Drosophila melanogaster: one gene and its partners. Changing the gene in region 2 together with the main gene of any one other region gives a genetic interaction. Each region holds a gene or a part of one and is shown on either strand. Other genes may lie near its edges.

Evidence for each region. Genes that interact genetically often act in the same process or in processes that back each other up.
Region 1: of Sln (region 2) and ND-42, changing one suppresses a phenotype caused by changing the other (phenotypic suppression), as found in Drosophila melanogaster (one study listed by BioGRID).
Region 3: of Sln (region 2) and sicily, changing one suppresses a phenotype caused by changing the other (phenotypic suppression), as found in Drosophila melanogaster (one study listed by BioGRID).

Annotation. Positions count from the first base shown.
Region 1 is NT_033777.3:22,025,172-22,029,893, reverse strand, and holds ND-42 (NADH dehydrogenase (ubiquinone) 42 kDa subunit), read right to left. Parts: upstream 2,186-4,722; 5' UTR 1,874-2,185; coding exon 746-1,873; intron 679-745; coding exon 583-678; 3' UTR 501-582; downstream 1-500. Other genes in the region: CG13409 (uncharacterized protein), read left to right, coding at 1-188; Cchl (cytochrome c heme lyase), read left to right, coding at 2,857-3,446, 3,504-3,759; CG6028 (uncharacterized protein), read left to right, coding at 4,490-4,722. UniProt on the Drosophila melanogaster protein: Accessory subunit of the mitochondrial membrane respiratory chain NADH dehydrogenase (Complex I), that is believed not to be involved in catalysis. Complex I functions in the transfer of electrons from NADH to the respiratory chain.
Region 2 is NT_033778.4:11,843,227-11,851,963, reverse strand, and holds the start of Sln (silnoon), read right to left. Parts: upstream 6,641-8,737; 5' UTR 5,887-6,640; coding exon 5,854-5,886; intron 3,068-5,853; coding exon 2,101-3,067; intron 2,000-2,100; coding exon 1,547-1,999; intron 1,488-1,546; coding exon 882-1,487; intron 806-881; coding exon 679-805; intron 618-678; coding exon 236-617; 3' UTR 1-235. Other genes in the region: CG43190 (uncharacterized protein), read right to left, coding at 7,048-7,239, 7,298-7,450; S2P (site-2 protease), read left to right, coding at 8,011-8,085, 8,137-8,574, 8,642-8,737.
Region 3 is NC_004354.4:11,889,203-11,894,245, forward strand, and holds sicily (severe impairment of CI with lengthened youth), read left to right. Parts: upstream 1-2,529; 5' UTR 2,530-2,835; coding exon 2,836-3,017; intron 3,018-3,086; coding exon 3,087-3,201; intron 3,202-3,527; coding exon 3,528-4,153; intron 4,154-4,387; coding exon 4,388-4,469; 3' UTR 4,470-4,543; downstream 4,544-5,043. UniProt on the Drosophila melanogaster protein: Involved in the assembly of mitochondrial NADH:ubiquinone oxidoreductase complex (Complex I) at early stages. Interacts with cytosolic Hsp90 to chaperone the Complex I subunit ND-42 in the cytoplasm.

The DNA of each region.
Region 1 (4,722 bases), on a different chromosome or scaffold from region 2:
TGGCGTATGTGTACTCGCCAGATGGACGGTTCGCCCAGGCGGAGCTGGCTGTCACCAAGGATAATCCGGCTATTTCCATGATCGACGATTCCGACGAGGATGTTGTCTACGGTTCCGACGAGGAGTCACGGCGACCGCTCACCTCTGTGGGCGGCGGTGCTGGAAAGAACGATTACGACAGCGATTGATCGGCGATTAAGAAGTATCCGCGGCAGAACGAATACCCAAATGTTCCATAGCGCAATTGAAGTTTTAGTGCTAAATGTGTACAAAGTATTCCCTAATATAATGCATAAATTAACTTAAAATTTCAAAAAATTAATCTCTGGTTGATCAATGAAACTGGAGAGGATCGAAATATGTTTGGGTATTCATGATTAAGCTGAATTCGAAATTTATGTTAAAAAAAAAGTATAAATAAACCCAATAGTTCGAGTTTTGTTGTATGAAAAGTATTTACAATCGATATTTACCATATTCGCTTTTTAACTAATTGGGTTCTGATTATTTTACTAGACTGTTTATTAGATAATTAACACATTTCGCCAGGTGATTTCAACTCGAAAGCATAGCAAAAACCCTCTAGATGCCCTGGTTGATGCCTATTTTCGTCTTGGTGAGGAGACCCTCGTCGCCCATGTCTGCATTGTAGCCAGGACGGTACTTCATGCCGGGAGCCTGTGTGCAAAGGGGCAGAATTAATGTGAAAAGAAATCGAACAGGGAAATGGAAACACCGAACTTACATTGAACCAGACATCACGCCAGACTTTGCCGTCGTCAGCGCTGCGCACCAGCTCCGGGACATCGAAACGCGGCACATTGAAGTAATTCATCAGATCGGGCTTCTCATGGCAGTACTTGATACGGGCTTCGCACCACTCGGCCTCCAGCGGGAAACGCCAGTCGAGCATCTTCTTGTTGTGAATATCGGCCTCAAACTGGTTGAAGTCGATGCGTTCGATATCCTCCACCACAACCTCAGTCTCACCGCCGGCTGTCCAGTCGTAGATGAGCAGCTCGGCATGGGTGGAGATGTCCTTGAGGTACTGCTGCTTGTACAGCTGCTCCAAATCGCTCAAGTAGGCATCGCTGAACACCTTTGACTGCACCTCGTAGTCCACATTGCGTGCCTTGATCTGCTTCTTCACGGCATCGACCGGCAGATCCAAGTAGATAACCAAATGCGGCTTCAGCAGCTCCCCGATGGTGTTCTGTCGGAGCTCATTATACACGGAACGCGCACCGCGTGACAGATAACCCTGCCGAAACATGGCCTCCATGAAGACAAAGTCCGAGTAGGGGCTGCGCTCGAGGACAACACCCTGGCCGGTGCTAAGGACGTGCTGCAGGGCATCAATGTACTGCGAATAGCGCAGCATGTACATGCGAATCTGGAACTGGGCAGCCAGATCGTGGCTGGGATCCAGGCAGAAGTTGCGCACATCGTAGCTTCGGCAGCTGGGCGGCAACTGAGGATCCAACTTCCTCATGTCATAGCCGTACGAATTGATGTAGATTAGGTCCAGATCAACTGCCGGATAGTACTCCATGTCCAGCTCCTCAGCCAGTTCCTTGGCGAACTTTGACTTGCCGGCCGCGATGGGTCCCTCCACACAGATCACCTTGGAGTTCTCGTCAAAACGCTTGGAGGTCTTGTCGAAAATAGCATTGAACACGCTGTACTTCTTCGTCTTGTACGGATAGGGGGCGGCCTTGGGCACCCGTGGTCCACCTCGCATCGTCTTGCCGGAGATGCTGCATCGCTGCTGGAAGGCAGCAGGCAGGGCATTCGTCTGCGCCTGGAGTAGATTGGGCGACTGTGTGGCGCGGCTGACGAGCCGCACCAGTCCTACGCGGAACACGGCGGTCATTCTGAAGGGAAAACAAGGGTCAGTACAAAAACGAAACAAGATAATAACAATTATATCTCGTCCAGTGGCAATTTGTCGTGTGGTTACATCACAGGAGCTACGCAGGTAGTGCGGTAATCTCTGCCCTAGAACTGCAGATATGCGGATCTTTTCGTTGCATTCTGCTGGCCAGCATTGCGGCGCTCCATAGATTTACCCAAATTGTCGGTTTTAATGCTCTATCCGGTGGTATTTACTCACTTTTCAATCTAAATATCGGAAGTCTACCCAAAAACAAATTTCGGGCTATGGTTGGTGTTGGAAAACTCCCCGAATAGGGCTGTCAAGGTATCCGTTCAAATATCAAAAATGTAAAATCAAAATGTTTGTCTATGCTTTAACTGCGACTTTTCTCAGAATCAGAAAGAATTTCATATGAAATGAAATTTAACCCAGTATTTTAAAAACTTTATATAACACTTACAAAATAACATTTTAATGTATAAATGTATTTGTTTTACTTTTTAAAAATATCGCAAAGCGACTGCTCAACACTACACAGCACAGCTGGGGTGTTTAACTACAAGTTAATTTACTTGAAATAAATTCAACAATGCTTTTCATTTGTAGACAGACACACACCATAAACTCACATTGCCGTGCGGTGCGAGTTGATTTTTTAAATTTTTAACTTAACATATTGTCACGGTGCAGAAACAACTGGTCCACTTTCCGTTGGTCTGGCAGCCCTGACCACAACCTCGCTGCATTTTGGGCTCAAAAGTTCTAACGATGAACTAACGAAAATATAAATCAAAATTTAAGGCGAAAGGCTCCAGGAGAAGATCGACAAATATCGAGAGTTGTGACCATTAGGATCGAGTAAGTCCTGGCGTTGGGGCCCAGCACTGGGAGTGTAACCCACTCCTTACAGTTACGCAACTGAGAACTAATGCGATTTTCCTCGTGACACAGATTTTGTTATTAACCAATCCCCAGCAGAAATGGGCAATACAGCCATCACCCGAGTGCAAATGGAGGCCACGAAGAGTGTGCCGGTGGACCACGCCAAGTACATGAGCGGCAGTGGTGCCCCGCCACCAGAATGCCCCATGCATCAGAAGCATGGAGATGCAAAATCGGCCTCCGCCGTACCCCCACATCCCAAGATGCAGGCCGCTTCCGAATGTCCGGTGCAGCACGACAACAGCGACGTTAATCCGCTGAATATGATGCCACCGGCAAACCAACAGCCGGCGGCAGATCAGCCCTTTCCACTGCCCACCGACCGCCAGACGTCGACCATTCCCAAAGTCACCGAGGATGGCAGCGTTCAATTCTGGCAGTATCCCAGCCAACAGATGTTCTGGAACGCCATGCTACGCAAGGGCTGGCGCTGGAAGACCGAGGACGTATCGCAAAAGGACATGGGCGACATCATACGCATCCACAATGCCAACAACGAGCAGGCCTGGCAGGAGGTACTTAAGTGGGAGGCGCTTCACGCCAAGGAATGCGGCAATCCGCGCCTCAAGAGTTTCGGTGGCAAGGCCAAGGACTTCAGTCCGCGCGCTCGATTCCGCAGCTGGCTGGGGTGAGTATACTCCAGACGGAAGATCTCACCTGAATTAATGTTCGAATTGTCTTACAGATACGAGCTGCCATTCGATAGGCATGACTGGATAGTCGATCGCTGCGGCAAGGATGTGCGCTACGTCATCGACTACTACGACGGTGGACTGGTGGACAAAGACTACCGCTTTGCCCTGCTGGATGTGCGCCCAGCCATGGACTCCGTGGACAACGTTTGGGACAGAATGCGCGTAGCTTACATGCGCTGGAAGTACGAGCTGTTTGAGAAGTTTGGCAGCGCGGATGGCGGCAAAGTGACCGCTGGTAGCGACTAGATGGAATGCATATTTAGATGATCGCTATAGGTACAAAATCGGCTTAAGTTATCGAATGGATGGAAGAGGGAGTTTGGTTAAATGCGTTTAAGACGCTGCGAAGCGAAACGATGTTGAGCCCTCTCTTTAAATAAATGTTGAATCTTGACTTCTGAACACCAAAATTCGAATGTGGTTTTGCTTTTTATTTTATTCTTTACTTAAATCCTTTTAAGGATTTCGAATTATCCAGTAACGAGTTGATAGCATTGTGGAGGAATATATTAATTAAAGTTTTTTTTTATTGATATACTTATGTATATGCAGAATTCTCATCTGTTCAAAATGCCTGTAAAAATTTTTTTTCTTAATCTTTAGTTTTATATTTTATTTATATGCTCTTTAAAATGATTGCGAAATTATAAAAATACGTTTACTACTTTTTTATCATTACTACAAATTTAAAAAATGTATAGTAAATAGAATATAACTTTAGACGTTTCTTAACTTTTTTAACATACATTTTCTGATAAAAAGTTGATATGCAACCCATAACATTATATGTATGTTTATATGTATGATGCTTTTCTAACACCTGCGGCTTCAGGGGGTTAATGTCTGGCAGTGTTGAAAAGCGCGTGTAAATTCTTTAACTGATTGCTGGTGCCCTCATTACGTGAGATTCGAGTTTGGCCACTGGAGCGTTAATTGGATAGCCGCGATAGATTCGTTCGACGTAAATCAGTCATAAATGCAAGCTGCCAGAATGAGGTTCGTTCAATACCTGCGAAAAGGTGACTTGGCCAAGCGACTTGGTCTACTGTCCGAGGATCAAAAGTCGCTGGTGGAATTTGCCGGCTTGGAGGGTGTGCCCAGCGATCTAAAGATCCTGATTGCCCAGGATCCCAATCTGGAGGAACTGGCGAAGAAGGCCGAAAAGCAGCCGCGACTCGAGGTGAATGATGATGTCACTTTGCTGCCGCC
Region 2 (8,737 bases):
CATCCTTTTGCTGTTGCTCAACGGAAGGATAACAAGCGATTGGGTGCGGGTGGGCATGGGGATTGATTAAGATACAAAGATACGGATGAGAACGTACGGATAGTAGTAATAGTAACTGGTAGAATCAGCAATATCGGTGAGGCATTCGAACTCTGAAACTCAGGAACTCAACTAGTATTTGATCGCTACTAAAACACTATTAACATATGGGGCAACCAACGAATCCGAATCATTTCTAGGCCTCCTCGCACTCCTCCTCCTCGCGCTGAACAAACAACCGATGGTTGCGGGCCTCCAGGATGGACCACACAATCAGCGGAGTGGTCCCGAGCACCATGCAGGATCCCATGCAGTAGAAGCATATCTCGTAGTCTCCGGAAAGGTCTCGCATCAGTCCTGCCAGCGGAGGCACCGATATGGCCCCGATGCTCTGGAACATCCTCACCAGCCCGTAGCTCGAGCTGATCCTGTCCGTGCCAAAGACGTCCGCAAGGAGGACCGGCATAAGTACATACCAGCTACCCAGGCAAAGTCCGTAGACAGCGGCCGATAGACCCACCAAAACCAGAGTCTTGGCGAAGGGAATTGTGAGCACGGCACATCCGGCGCCCAAAATGCTGTCGATATAGGGAAATGTGATTAGTTTGGATCGAAAAATAAACCTTATCTGGTACTCACCACAAGGTGTAGGTCTTCTTGCGATCGAATAGCTGCAGGTCGCACAGCCAGCCAAGTCCAAGGCGCCCAATTAAATCTAGGACCGCGCTGATGGCCACCAGGTATCCCGCCTCACTTTTATTGTATCCTAAAGATGAACCAAGTTTATAATATTTAAAATCGTACGCCGAAAGAATATACTTTGAACATTTTAAATAGTATACCTATTGAAATAACGTGGGCGGGCAGATAGTACAACATGTAGGGACAGCCGACGGACATCAAGGTGACGGATAGGCACATCAGGATAAAGCTCGGGTCCTGCAGCAGACTGATGTCCAGGTACATCTCGATGCGCTCGCAGCAAGTGCGTGGTCCCCGCTCTTCGTCGTCATCGTCATCCTCATCGGCGGCAAGGTGGCCGTCGCCATCGATAATGGACTCCACCAGCTGGGAGTCTAGAATGCCGAGCTCCGCCTGCTCCACCGGCTGCTGCTTGAGATCACTGAGGTTGCTAACCGGAGTGGGTATCTCCATGCTCTTGCTGAGTCCGCGACTGACCACACTCGGCGGCGAAAGAGGCTTCTCCAAGTGGGCTTGTATCTTGGATATCACCTCGTCGTTGGCAAAGACATTGCGCCGACGACGACTTCCGCGATTGGAGTCCGTGCCGGAGTGCTTGCGATAGACCCAAGTGGAGTCCGTGCTCAGATCTTCGACGGAGTGCAGCAATCCGGAACTGCGCACCTTCTTCATGGGCTTGATGAAAGTGGTCTCGCCAATAATATCCTTTACCTCGTCGTCACTCTCCTGCGCTGACTTGTCCTGGGCTAAGTAACCAAATGGGATTTATTATTTGGAGTTTTCCTCGATGAAATAATACTCCCACCTGGCTGCTTGCTGGCATAGTAGTTCAGGTGGTTCTTGGACTCCTCCAGGAACAGATGCTCGATAAACTTGTCGCTCAGCTCGTGGCCTGCACCCACATCGCAGGTGTCTAGGTAGGTGGATGTAGTCAGAATGCCCGTGGTGCTCGGATTGATGTCTTCGTTGAGGGGCTTTGCCGTCTCCTCCTGTCCCTGGCCCGAGTCCTGATCCGTGTAAGCACTGATTGGGCGGTAAAGTGTGGCCGAAACGCACACGTGAAGCATGCAACCGCCCAGGATCAGAATAGTGCCGTGGAAGCCACAGTTCTCCGCGAGGTGCTTTATCAGAACGGGTAGGATGAAGCTGCCGGCGGCAGTGCCCGAAACGCAGATTCCATTGGCCAATGCACGGTGCTTGTCAAAGTATTGGGACACTATCACTATGCCCGGAGTAGTCGAGAGGCCACCTCCAATACCTGGGCGTGAAGAAATAGTTAAATATAAACATCATGATAACTAAATAAATATAATTACTAATGTGATGAGGATAAATTTAAATTGATTATACATTATGCACCTGTGAGTACGCCAAATGTTAGGAGGAGGTGCAGCAGACTGGTGGCAAAGTAGCTCAGTATCATGCCCATGGCGCAGAAAATGCCGCCGACGAAGACCACCGTTCGGCAGGAGAATCGCTGGCAAAGAGCACTGGACAGCGGGGCCAGGACCAGACATAGAGCCGACAGGATCGCTGGAATCCAGGAGGCCACGGTGGCCGTAGAGCTGGGAAATGTCTCCATAATCTCCACATACAGCACGCCGTACGACTTGACCAGTCCGGCCACCCAGAATTGCACGGAGAAGGCCCCAAAGACGATGAACCAACCGTAACCGCCGTCCGGTGGCTCCACATTCGGACCACCGCTCTCCGTTGTGGTCGTTGAGGAGTCCCGATCCTTGACCACTTGCTTGCTACGCCTGGCGACGGTCACGCGATCCCGCTCGCGCTCCTTGGCCCGGCGGACGCACCTGCTGCGGGCCGTATTCAAACCAGATCCGGAACCTGAACCCGACTTCCGACTGCTGCGAAGCTCATGCGATTTGGCAATCAACGGTCGCGCCGTGATGCTGGACACGGTCAGCAGGTTCTCATTGTCGTCCTCCTCCAGCTCGGAGATCTGATGCTCCAGCAGGCTGGCGTGCAGGGTCCTCGGGCAGCATTGCGTGTCCAGGCTGAGGGTGGCGGGTCGTCGCATGGGCGAGGCGTTGGGTGAACAGCATCCGGAGCGGAAGGCGGCGGACTCCATGTGTTTGCCATCCATCTCGGTGGGCACAACGATGTCGGGCAGTGGAGCCGGCGGCGCTGATACCACCGAGAACAGGGAGCCGCATTCGAGGCCGACTCCGCCACCGGACCCGTCCACGCCCGCCCCTCCGCCGGAGCCCTCAGCCGTCTTCGTGTGGAGAAGGCACCCTCCCGACTCGTACTGGACTCCACCAGTTGGGTCCGGTTCACTCGCGCAGTAAACCGATCCCCGGGAACCCTGCGAAAAACATAAATAGTATTTTTGTATCGTTAAACATTAAATATGCTGGTTATCTAGTGCAATATTTAATATAAATCTATGAAAGTGTGTTTAAGATATGGAGTATGGAGTATGGAGGGATGTTTTTTTTAAATAACAATTAAATAACATAACAAGTTAACGAAGTAAGCAACCCAAGAAAATGGGCCAATTTAATTGCGAAAGTTCTTATCAAGTAGTAGACATCAAAAGTTAATGTCCCAAATTGGCGTGCATCCAAAAATTCCGCCTCCGCCGTAGCATTCAAAAATGGGTTAAACCCCGTCAGAAATCCGGGGCTGTTGACAAATCGACTGGAGGCGGGTCAAGGAAGCAACAACTTAGCCCAATTTGCATTGCTAAACGAAATGCGAGGAGCGCACGCGATCTGCCGCCTTATAGACGACATCGCTGCAACGACCTAATGTATGCAATACGTTTTGTTTAATTGAGTTAACATCCAGTTCCTTCCCGATTCCCGCTCCGCTGGGCTATGTAATTACCCGCGGACCGAGCGGATTTTCTTGTTATATGTACTTTGTTAAATCGATGCCAGGCTGCAGGTGCATGCTGTGCCTTGCGGGCTGGCATGACGTCTGGGAATTTTCCATTTGTCTGCGGGATCCGCTGCCACTTCCTCCCACGAAACCTCCATTTTCCGACGACTCAGGGTCAAGAGCGAGGTGGGTCTGGTCTGGCATGCGGTTGCCTTTCAGCACTTTTTTAGTTTCTGTCTTTGTTGCCGGAAATTGATGGGGGGTTCGATTGGCCCCAAAGGAGCAGTGGTGGGTGTTTGCTCCAATCCAAGGACGATGCAATGCTCGAACCGAAGGCTAATGCCAGGAAATATACCCGTGCTGATAAGACGCCAATCTTTGCCAAGCCCTCGTAGAAAGGACACAATTGGAAAGCAGTCAAAAACGAAATTCGGTAAGTTGATGTAAGGTATTATTGGGTTTACAGCCATGCCAACAGCTCAACTATACATACTAACTAATATATACATTTAAAACTTTATGTTATATGTGCACAGTTAATATTTTTACCTCATATTGAACTATTCCTAATTAGATTTCAACACCTGCCCCCTTAATATTTATGTGCTGTCGCAATCTTATTGTTATAACCAACAGTTCGTAATAACTCATTTCCTAATAGCTTCTTATTTCGCACTTAGTTGTCCCGCTCCCACCTATTTCTTGGTACTTCCAATGACGTACGTATACGAAATATGATACATTGCTGGCATCAAATATCAAGTATGCGACGTGTGTGCCCATTAGAAAGAAGGATTGGTGCCCAACGCTGGTTAAACCTATGCACAATATATTAGGTGAAGCGCTCTATCCTTAGTCAACCTTTTTATTTGCTTTTACTTAAGTATCCTATCTAAGCATGTCAGTTCTTAATGAGCAAATAATCAATAATTATTATAACGAATAAATATTGCATGGTAAATGTAACAAATCATAACATCACTTATGCTTAATAAAGCCAAGTAAATTTATATAATTGAATTCTAACTTTGAAAGTAAATTTAATAAATTTGTCTTTTGTTTACGTGGCATGTCATTTGTCGAACTTCGTGCCGCTTATGAACTGTCAGCCATATTGATGGTAGAAATATGCCAAATAGATGGCATGCAATATTCTTGAACGAGTGCAAAATGCAGTCACACATCTGACACGACTAATGAGCGTTGGCCAACTCTTGGCATTTGGCAACTCCCCCTCAAGAGCATGAGTCACAGCATCCTAGAGCCAGTGACCTTGTCGAATGTCAAAGGCCCACGTCGCCGTGGCATGCGATGGTATACGATATCCTGGACGCCAAGAACCCCCAAGACCACCCTCTGCTGTCAGCTGGAATCCGGCTTAAGCTGTCAGGAAGCTTTCGCTGGGGCAGCTCTGCAATCGCTGGTTGTTTTCAATTTCCCAACATTTCAAGGCCTTTGCCAGCGCTTAATGAAACGGAAGAACCTTCCCCCGGGCCAAGTTAGTTGGCGCTCGTGTGTGGGCCTGAACGATAAGCGGTCAAGGTGAAAGGGGTGGCCTCAAGTCGGCTGGTCGAGGGTGGTATCTAGTCGGGGAGGGAATCTAGTGGGGAGGACTTGACGCACAACTTGTTGAGCCACCCGTAATTGCTAGCCCTCCGTAATAATAGATATTAGGTTGCACAGGCCTAGGCCAATTAGTTCACCCAATCAGCAGGACATTGATGCTTAAGTGTAGGGATGCTGTACTCCCATATGCGAGTGTAAACACCTACTTAAATTTGGCTCAAAATTCATGTTTTAAGTGTTTACAAAATCAACGATTGTAAGTGTAAGTATAATTATAAGCATAATAAAAAGTTACTTTTCATTTGTGTCAAAACTAGTAGAAATGAACACTTCTATTCGATTTAATAGGTGTCATTAAAGGTCAACACCATGCCACGACTGAACTTTGGCTTGTGGTTTTCGGTCTTTCCATCAGCAGTCGGGGCATGTATTGTTTACTTTCTTGTCCCCGTTCTTCTAAAGCGACTAAGATGGATGCAACTTGTGACGTTGACCCATTCTCCTGTCGCTTGCAATGTTTACGTACTCGTAAAACACTCTCTGGTCCAGTGCGCATGCTCACCAGAGGAACCCAAACTCCAGCTACCTCAATACGATTGCCATTGGCCCACTCCCCAGAAAAGGCAGCGAGGAGGAATCAAGGGGGATGGTTCCTGACCTTCCCAAAGTAAGGATAATGGGATGCTGGGTAGTACTACTCACCTGTAAATGCCAGTCACGCTGTAGGGACGACATTGCCGTCCTTTACTGAACGTGAAACGCCTTTGATGTTTCTCTTGTTGCTCGCGCTGTTGTTGTTGTTGCTTGGGGCGTTGTTGTTGTGCACCCAAATGCATTGGGTTGCCTCTGCTTTGGGTCCTTAAAGTCCTGAAGAGCTGACGTTCGCGGGCCTTCACCGGTTGGCCCAAAATAAATACTCTCTTGCTACTGCTGCTTCTGCCGGAACGGCTCCTTTGGCACTGAATCCTTTGCGGGTTCGTCTTGATGGTTTGTTCTCCGAATCGATTGCGATTTTCGTTCGCTTTTTCTTGAGGGCTTCCTTGAGGAACTTGTATGGGTTTTCCTAGGGGCAATATCCTTGCTGCTCTGGCGTCATGATGCGTTGATGTGACACACAGTATTCCCTGTTACTATTGTTTATGCAGCAGCTGTTTCCGCTTCCGCTTCCTTGTCGCCCCCTTCCGTATCCGTTTTCGGCACAAGCGCACTCTCTCACTCACTCGCTGGCGAATATGCAGTTTTTGGAACAAATCGATATGGGGCGAGATTCCAGCTGAAGTCCTTTGTTCTTAGCTTACTCAATCACAATCGAACGAATTGGATCCTTCCAGTGAGTTAAATTGGTTAAAAATACGCCTGAAGCTATTGAACACTTTCTCTGATTGGGAAAACCCTTTGCAAAAGCCTTTTTATTTTTCGTGAGTACTCTTCGTTTGTTGCCCTTTTTGGCGGATGCGACTGTTCTGCTGCTGCTCAAGCTCACGACTAAACTGATGATACTCATGTCCTCTGGAGGTCCATTGAAAACCCAACTCAGTTAAGGTGAACTTGGTGGTGGTGAGTTTCGGCATGGAAAAAGGAAAAACAAGAGTAAGAGGTCCTCTCTTCCTTTCCATTGGTTTTCATCCGTTTTGTTTTGCTAGGTTCTTTTGGCCGCCTGTTGCCAGAACCACCTACTTTTATTTCTGAAAACAGCTGATGAATGAATTACGAATTGCCTTACGAATTAAAGTCACACAAATTTAACAAATGTAACTTTACAATTTCTCATGCTAGATTTTCATATACCTATAATTTTTCAATTTTAATCAAAGTAGGTGTATTCGTTGCTCTTGATTACTGCACGGCAAATTTATAATATAAATCCAAAACTAAACGAGAACACTTTGCATTGCTCTATAGAGAAGTGCGTAGTTCTTCCAGGCTTTTGGTCATGTTCAACGCCACTCCAAGAAATATAAAGCTGATGGCCACAGATGAGAAAACGGCAGCCGGTAGGTTCTTGAGTAGCCACTGCAGGATCATCGTGTAGACGGCAATGGCCATGAGCAGCATGCACATGTATGGATAGGCCAGCCATTTAATGAACTGCAAAATCACAGGATTCTTAAGAATATTTCCTCAATTAATTTTGCTTCAGGTTAACCTTCCAAACTGCAATAATCAACAGGAGCGAGGATAATGCATAGAGAGCCGATCCGGTGGTCCACACAATCTTTACCGCTTCAGAGACACCTGATAAACTGGTCATGAAAAGATAGCCGGCAGCCACGCCCGATATACAGGATACGCAGGCCATAATGGAGACGATCAGCCTGCAAGTCGGCAAAAGTCTCTTATATGAGAATTCCTGTTCGCTCATGTGTTTGATGTATTTTAAGTCACTTAACACAATGGATTTTGAATTTTTTTATATTGAAAGCAAATCATTTTCATAAAAAAATTTTAATTGTTGTTTTTGAGTTGTTCAACAGTTTTCTTTGTTTGACGTTGAATAGTTGAAAATGTTCAAAACTTTCGCGCCCAAATAAGCTTGCTTATCGGTATTATTGATAAAGCGGCCATCGATAAGTTCTGCAATCGATTGCGATTAGCTTTTGGTATTTCGATTTTTTACGCAGGTTAATTTGCGCACAAGATTCCCAGACGTGATTAATGCTGATTTCTGGTCTGGACTACACAGCATTGCTGGTATAAGGAGTCGGGACCAGAGGAGTAAGATTTCGGGAAGGAATCCCGTCCGGTAGGGACTACTAGCATTCGCAAGTGACGTCCAGCAACCGGAGGACCCCCAACTGTAGAATCCGCATCACCATCCTAATCCCAACAAACCAATGACATCTTGAGACCTCACCAGCCATGGATCCCTTCGTGTTCTTCATAGTACTGGCATCGCTTTATGGCGTTCTTTACTTTTTCGACCGCTTCTTCAAGGTGTAGTATATCCAGCCAAAGTACGTCCAGATACTTAATGTAATCCCTTAGAGTTGCATGCACTACCCGTACGATGCCTTCCTCAAGAACACCGGGCTGAGTATAAATTTCATGAGCCTCCACTGGCACACGAGTGCCTTTAACAGGACCCTCCTACGCTGGGGATCTGCCGGTAACAGCTGCACCCGGAGAGTAATGATCACCAGCTTTAATGTAGGAGTCCTGGTCACCTTTTCTCTGCTCCCGATCGGTCTGATCCTGCTCATTGCCACTATCTTCAGCAGTGGTGAACAAGACAGCTCTTCGTCTGTATCCTCGCCCGTTGGAGTCCCTGTGCAGCTGGAAATTCTACTGCCCGGCGTCAACTTGCCGTTGGAGGAGATCGGATACTACATCACAACCCTTGTGCTCTGCTTGGTGGTGCACGAGATGGGACACGCCCTGGCCGCTGTGATGGAGGATGTGCCTGTCACCGGGTTTGGAATAAAGGTTAGAATGATATAGCGTACTTTACAACCTAATACGCTTACTAATTAGGTAAATATTAATATTTCAGTTCATCTTCTGCCTGCCGTTAGCATACACGGAGCTCTCCCACGACCACTTAAACAGTCTACGTTGGTTCCGCAAGCTACGTGTTCTGTGCGCTGGA
Region 3 (5,043 bases), on a different chromosome or scaffold from region 2:
TCAGATGCTTTTGACTTATTTTTGCAACAATTTCTCTATTTCTATTTTCAATAATTAACCACCCCTTTCACTTTTCAATTGATTTTGTAAAATTAATTTTTGGCCAAAATTTTCGCATTTTTTGTAAGGGGTACCATCATCAAAATTTGCAAAAAAATGAAAAATCCTAGAATTCCCAAACTTGAATGCAAATCGATTGGAATTTAAAAAACAAACTCAACGATGTATGACATTCCATATTTGAGTCATTATTTTCAATGTTTTGATCAAAATACCGAATATTTTTTTCACAAAAAATCTGGAAACTACTTTTGGCAAAAAACTCAATTTTCAAGTTGGCTTTTTTGGCTATAACTTGTCTAAAAATGGTCACAGAGCAAAAAGAATTACCATTTTATACTCCTTATGACCAATACTAACAACCCCTATCACTTTAAAACGGATTTTGTAAAATTAATTTTTGGCCAAATTTTCACATTTTTTGTAAGGGGTAACATCATCAAAATTTGCAAAAAAATGAAAAATCCTAGAATTCCCAAACTTGAATGCAAATCGATTGGGATTTAAAAAACAAACTCAACGAGGTATGACATTCCATATTTGAGTCATTATTTTCAATGTTTTGATCAAAATACCGAATATTTTTTTCACAAAAAATCTGGGAACTACTTTTGGCAAAAAACTCAATTTTCAAGTTGGCTCTTTTGGCTATAACTTGTCTAAAAATGGTCACAGAGCAAAAATAATTACCATTTTATACTCCTTATGACCAATACTAACAACCCCTATCACTTTAAAACGGATTTTGTAAAATTAATTTTTGGACAAATTTTCGCATTTTTTGTAAGGGGTACCATCATCAAAATTTGCAAAAAAATGAAAAATTCTAGAATTCCCAAACTTGAATGCAAATCGATTGGGATTTAAAAAACAAACTCAACGAGGTATGACTTTCCATATTTGAGTCATTATTTTCAATGTTTTGATCAAAATACCGAATATTTTTTTCACAAAAAATCTGGAAACTACTTTTGGCAAAAAACTCAATTTTCAAGTTGGCTTTTTTGGCTATAACTTGTCTAAAAATGGTCACAGAGCAAAAAGAATTACCATTTTATACTCCTTATGACCAATACTAACAACCCCTATCACTTTAAAACGGATTTTGTAAAATTAATTTTTGGCCAAATTTTCACATTTTTTGTAAGGGGTAACATCATCAAAATTTGCAAAAAAATGAAAAATCCTAGAATTCCCAAACTTGAATGCAAATCGATTGGGATTTAAAAAACAAACTCAACGAGGTATGACATTCCATATTTGAGTCATTATTTTCAATGTTTTGATCAAAATACCGAATATTTTTTTCACAAAAAATCTGGGAACTACTTTTGGCAAAAAACTCAATTTTCAAGTTGGCTCTTTTGGCTATAACTTGTCTAAAAATGGTCACAGAGCAAAAATAATTACCATTTTATACTCCTTATGACCAATACTAACAACCCCTATCACTTTAAAACGGATTTTGTAAAATTAATTTTTGGACAAATTTTCGCATTTTTTGTAAGGGGTACCATCATCAAAATTTGCAAAAAAATGAAAAATTCTAGAATTCCCAAACTTGAATGCAAATCGATTGGGATTTAAAAAACAAACTCAACGAGGTATGACATTCCATATTTGAGTCATTATTTTCAATGTTTTGATCAAAATACCGAATATTTTTTTCACAAAAAATCTGGAAACTACTTTTGGCAAAAAACTCAATTTTCAAGTTGGCTTTTTTGGCTATAACTTGTCTAAAAATGGTCACAGAGCAAAAAGAATTACCATTTTATACTCCTTATGACCAATACTAACAACCCCTATCACTTTAAAACGGATTTTGTAAAATTAATTTTTGGCCAAATTTTCACATTTTTTGTAAGGGGTACCATCATCAAAATTTGCAAAAAAATGAAAAATCCTAGAATTCCCAAACTTGAATGCAAATCGATTGGGATTTAAAAAACAAACTCAACGAGGTATGACATTCCATATTTGAGTCATTATTTTTAATGTTTTGATCAAAATACCGATTATTTTCTTCACAGAAAACTGGGAAACTATTTTTGGCAAAAAACTCAATGTTTAAGTTCGCTTTTGTGGCTATAACTTGACTAAAAATGGACTCACAGCAAAAAGAATTACCATTTTATACTCCTTATGATCAACACTAACCATCCCTTTAACTTTTTAATTGATTTTGTAAAATTAATTTTTGGACAAATTTTCGCATTTTTTGTAAGGGGTACGTACCATCATCAAAATTTGCAAAAAAATGAAAAATTCTAGAATTCCCAAACTTGAATGCAAATCGATTGGGATTTAAAAAACAAACTCAACGAGGTATGACATTCCATATTTGAGTCATTATTTTCAATGTTTTGATCAAAATACCGAATATTTTTTTCACAAAAAATCTGGAAACTACTTTTGGCAAAAAACTCAATTTTCAAGTTGGCTTTTTTGGCTATAACTTGTCTAAAAATGGCCTCACAGCAAAAAGAAAAGAAGTCAAGAAGATTACGCATGGCAAAAAAGCAATATTTACGGAAGATAATGTATTTATATACCTAAGCTAAGCTTTATATGGTAAACTACCTAAGCTAAGCTATAATAATGCATTATAAATTTACCAACAAGTCACATACAGCATTTTGAATCTTCCGCCAAATGAAATTTCCGCGTAATCGCGAATACCCCATATGTAGTAACTTTCTGACAGACCGAGTGCGATCTGGCAGCACCGCTCAGAACATATGTTCAGTTGTCTGGTGGAAAGAAGAAGCACAGATGCGGCGCCTGGTGCGAAATTGGAATTGCCGATTGTTATTTAACGCCAAATCCGGCCAAGAAATTGTCAGCCATGCCGGAATTCACCAGGAGGCCAAGACCAATGCGATTCCCAGGGAAAAGAAAGTGATTGAGGCGGACAAGAATGGATACGGGGCCAAACATTGCATGAGTCTAGTGGAGTAAGTAGCGCAAACTTGTCGATTGAAGTTATCCGTATAATTGAACATGGATCTATTCCGGATAACCAGGAAATACGACTACGAGAACTACCTGTGCACCTTGCTCCTACCACGGGAACTGCGACGTGCTGCCTTCGCCCTACGGGCATTCAATGTGGAGGTCTCCAGATCGGTTAGCGGCCATGTGAGTGGAGCATCGAAATTCCTTGGGGCTTATTTTTTAAGTTAGAATAACGTGGCGCCTTAAATTCAGACTCCGTTCAGACTCTGTTACTCCGCATCAATATTATTGTAAGCATAAGTGGCTTATGTCCGCATCTCATGAATATTATTACCATTTCGAACGGTTTCACAAATCTCTTAATTTCTTATGTACACTGCAAGAGTATAATTTCTCTCCTTCCTTTAAAACGGATAGAGAAATTCGTAGAATAAGCAACACTTCGTAGTTTTTAAACTTCTTATTTCTGTCCAGTAAAATCGTTTATATAATGACAAATATCCTTGCAGCAAATTGAGCCGCAAATAGCCAAAATGCGCCTTAAGTTCTGGCACGACTCCATAGACAAGTGCTTTGAGCCGGATTCCCAAAGATCGTACGTGGAGGACCAGCCTGTCCTGCGCGAACTGAAGCACACGGTGGGCAGTCGCAAGCTAAATAAGGTATATTTGCGCCGTCTGGTCACAGCACGGGAACGTCCGCCCACGCATGCATTTGAGTCGATACGCGAGCTGGAGGAGTACACGGAACAGACCTTCTCTTCGCTATTGCTCCTGCTGTTGGAGGTGGGCGGAGTGCGTGACCTAAATGCTGATCATGCCGCCTCCCACTTGGGCAAGGCCCAAGGCATCGCCACCCTGCTGCGATCGATACCGCTGGCAGGACGTCAGCAGGCGCCCTGCATTCCGCTCGAGGTGCTGGTGCTGCATGGCGTCAGCCAGGAGCGCATCATTCGCTCTAAGAGCGACGACAAGGGTGTCGAGGACTGTATATTCGATGTGGCCAGTGCCGCCAATACGCACCTAAAGCTCGCCAGGCAGCTGCACGATAAGGTGCCGCCGCAGGTGCGCAAGATCTTCCTCTCCGCCGTGGCCACGGATGCATATTTGGAGCGCCTCCGCCGTGCCAACTTCCTGTGAGTTCCTTTGTTTTATATTGCTTTGTTTTATATTACGACAAACACAGGAGAGAACCAGCTTCTTTTTGTAGTTAAGATGTTATTTTTATCCAGTTATAAGTACGATTTGCCTTTATTGAGACTTCTTTATTTCAAAACCTAGCTATAGTTTGTTGGTTGTTCAGTATTCATGGAGCGGACCCTTCTTTTTATCAATCCCCATAATAATATAATAATTTTCCCATCTTATAGGCTAACCCACAAGAGCTGCGTAGGCCGCGACACCTTACTGCCAGCACGTTTATTCTGGAAGTCGCTGCTTAATCGGTTCTGATAGCGATTATGTTAGTATGTAGTACGAAATAAATTCTTCATTGTTGACTTCTTTAATAAAAATCACTTTAAAATAAGAGCTCTTACTTTTTCTCGAATCAATAGAAGAGGATTTCCAATGTTTATAAGAATACGAATATGAATCGGATCGGGGATCTTTTGGATGAAATGGGTTAAGAACGGTTGCAGGAATATCGCTATCTCGCTTCGAATCGGGACGTAATTACTATCGATGACAGGTGCACCAAAGGTTCGTCCCGACGAAGGTATCGGTGGATACGATGCAAGACCCGATTGGTACAGTAGTTGCTAGCTGATTTCAGAGCGTTTCAGGCGCAGTTTTAGTTTTTTATGAATGTTAGAATTGATGTGGAAAGTGTGTGTTGGATATTAATGAGAACGGAGCAGTGCGACGATCGCTCAACAAGATAAGCACCGTTTGTTTTTGGGCCCGTTTCCGGCTTCCGGTTGCTAGTTCCGGAAAAATTGCAACGCCTACTTTACGCGTACTTTTGGCATGGTGAGTTTTTGGCGCGCTTTCTTCGCACTCCTGGATTGAACTTTGTAAACCCAGA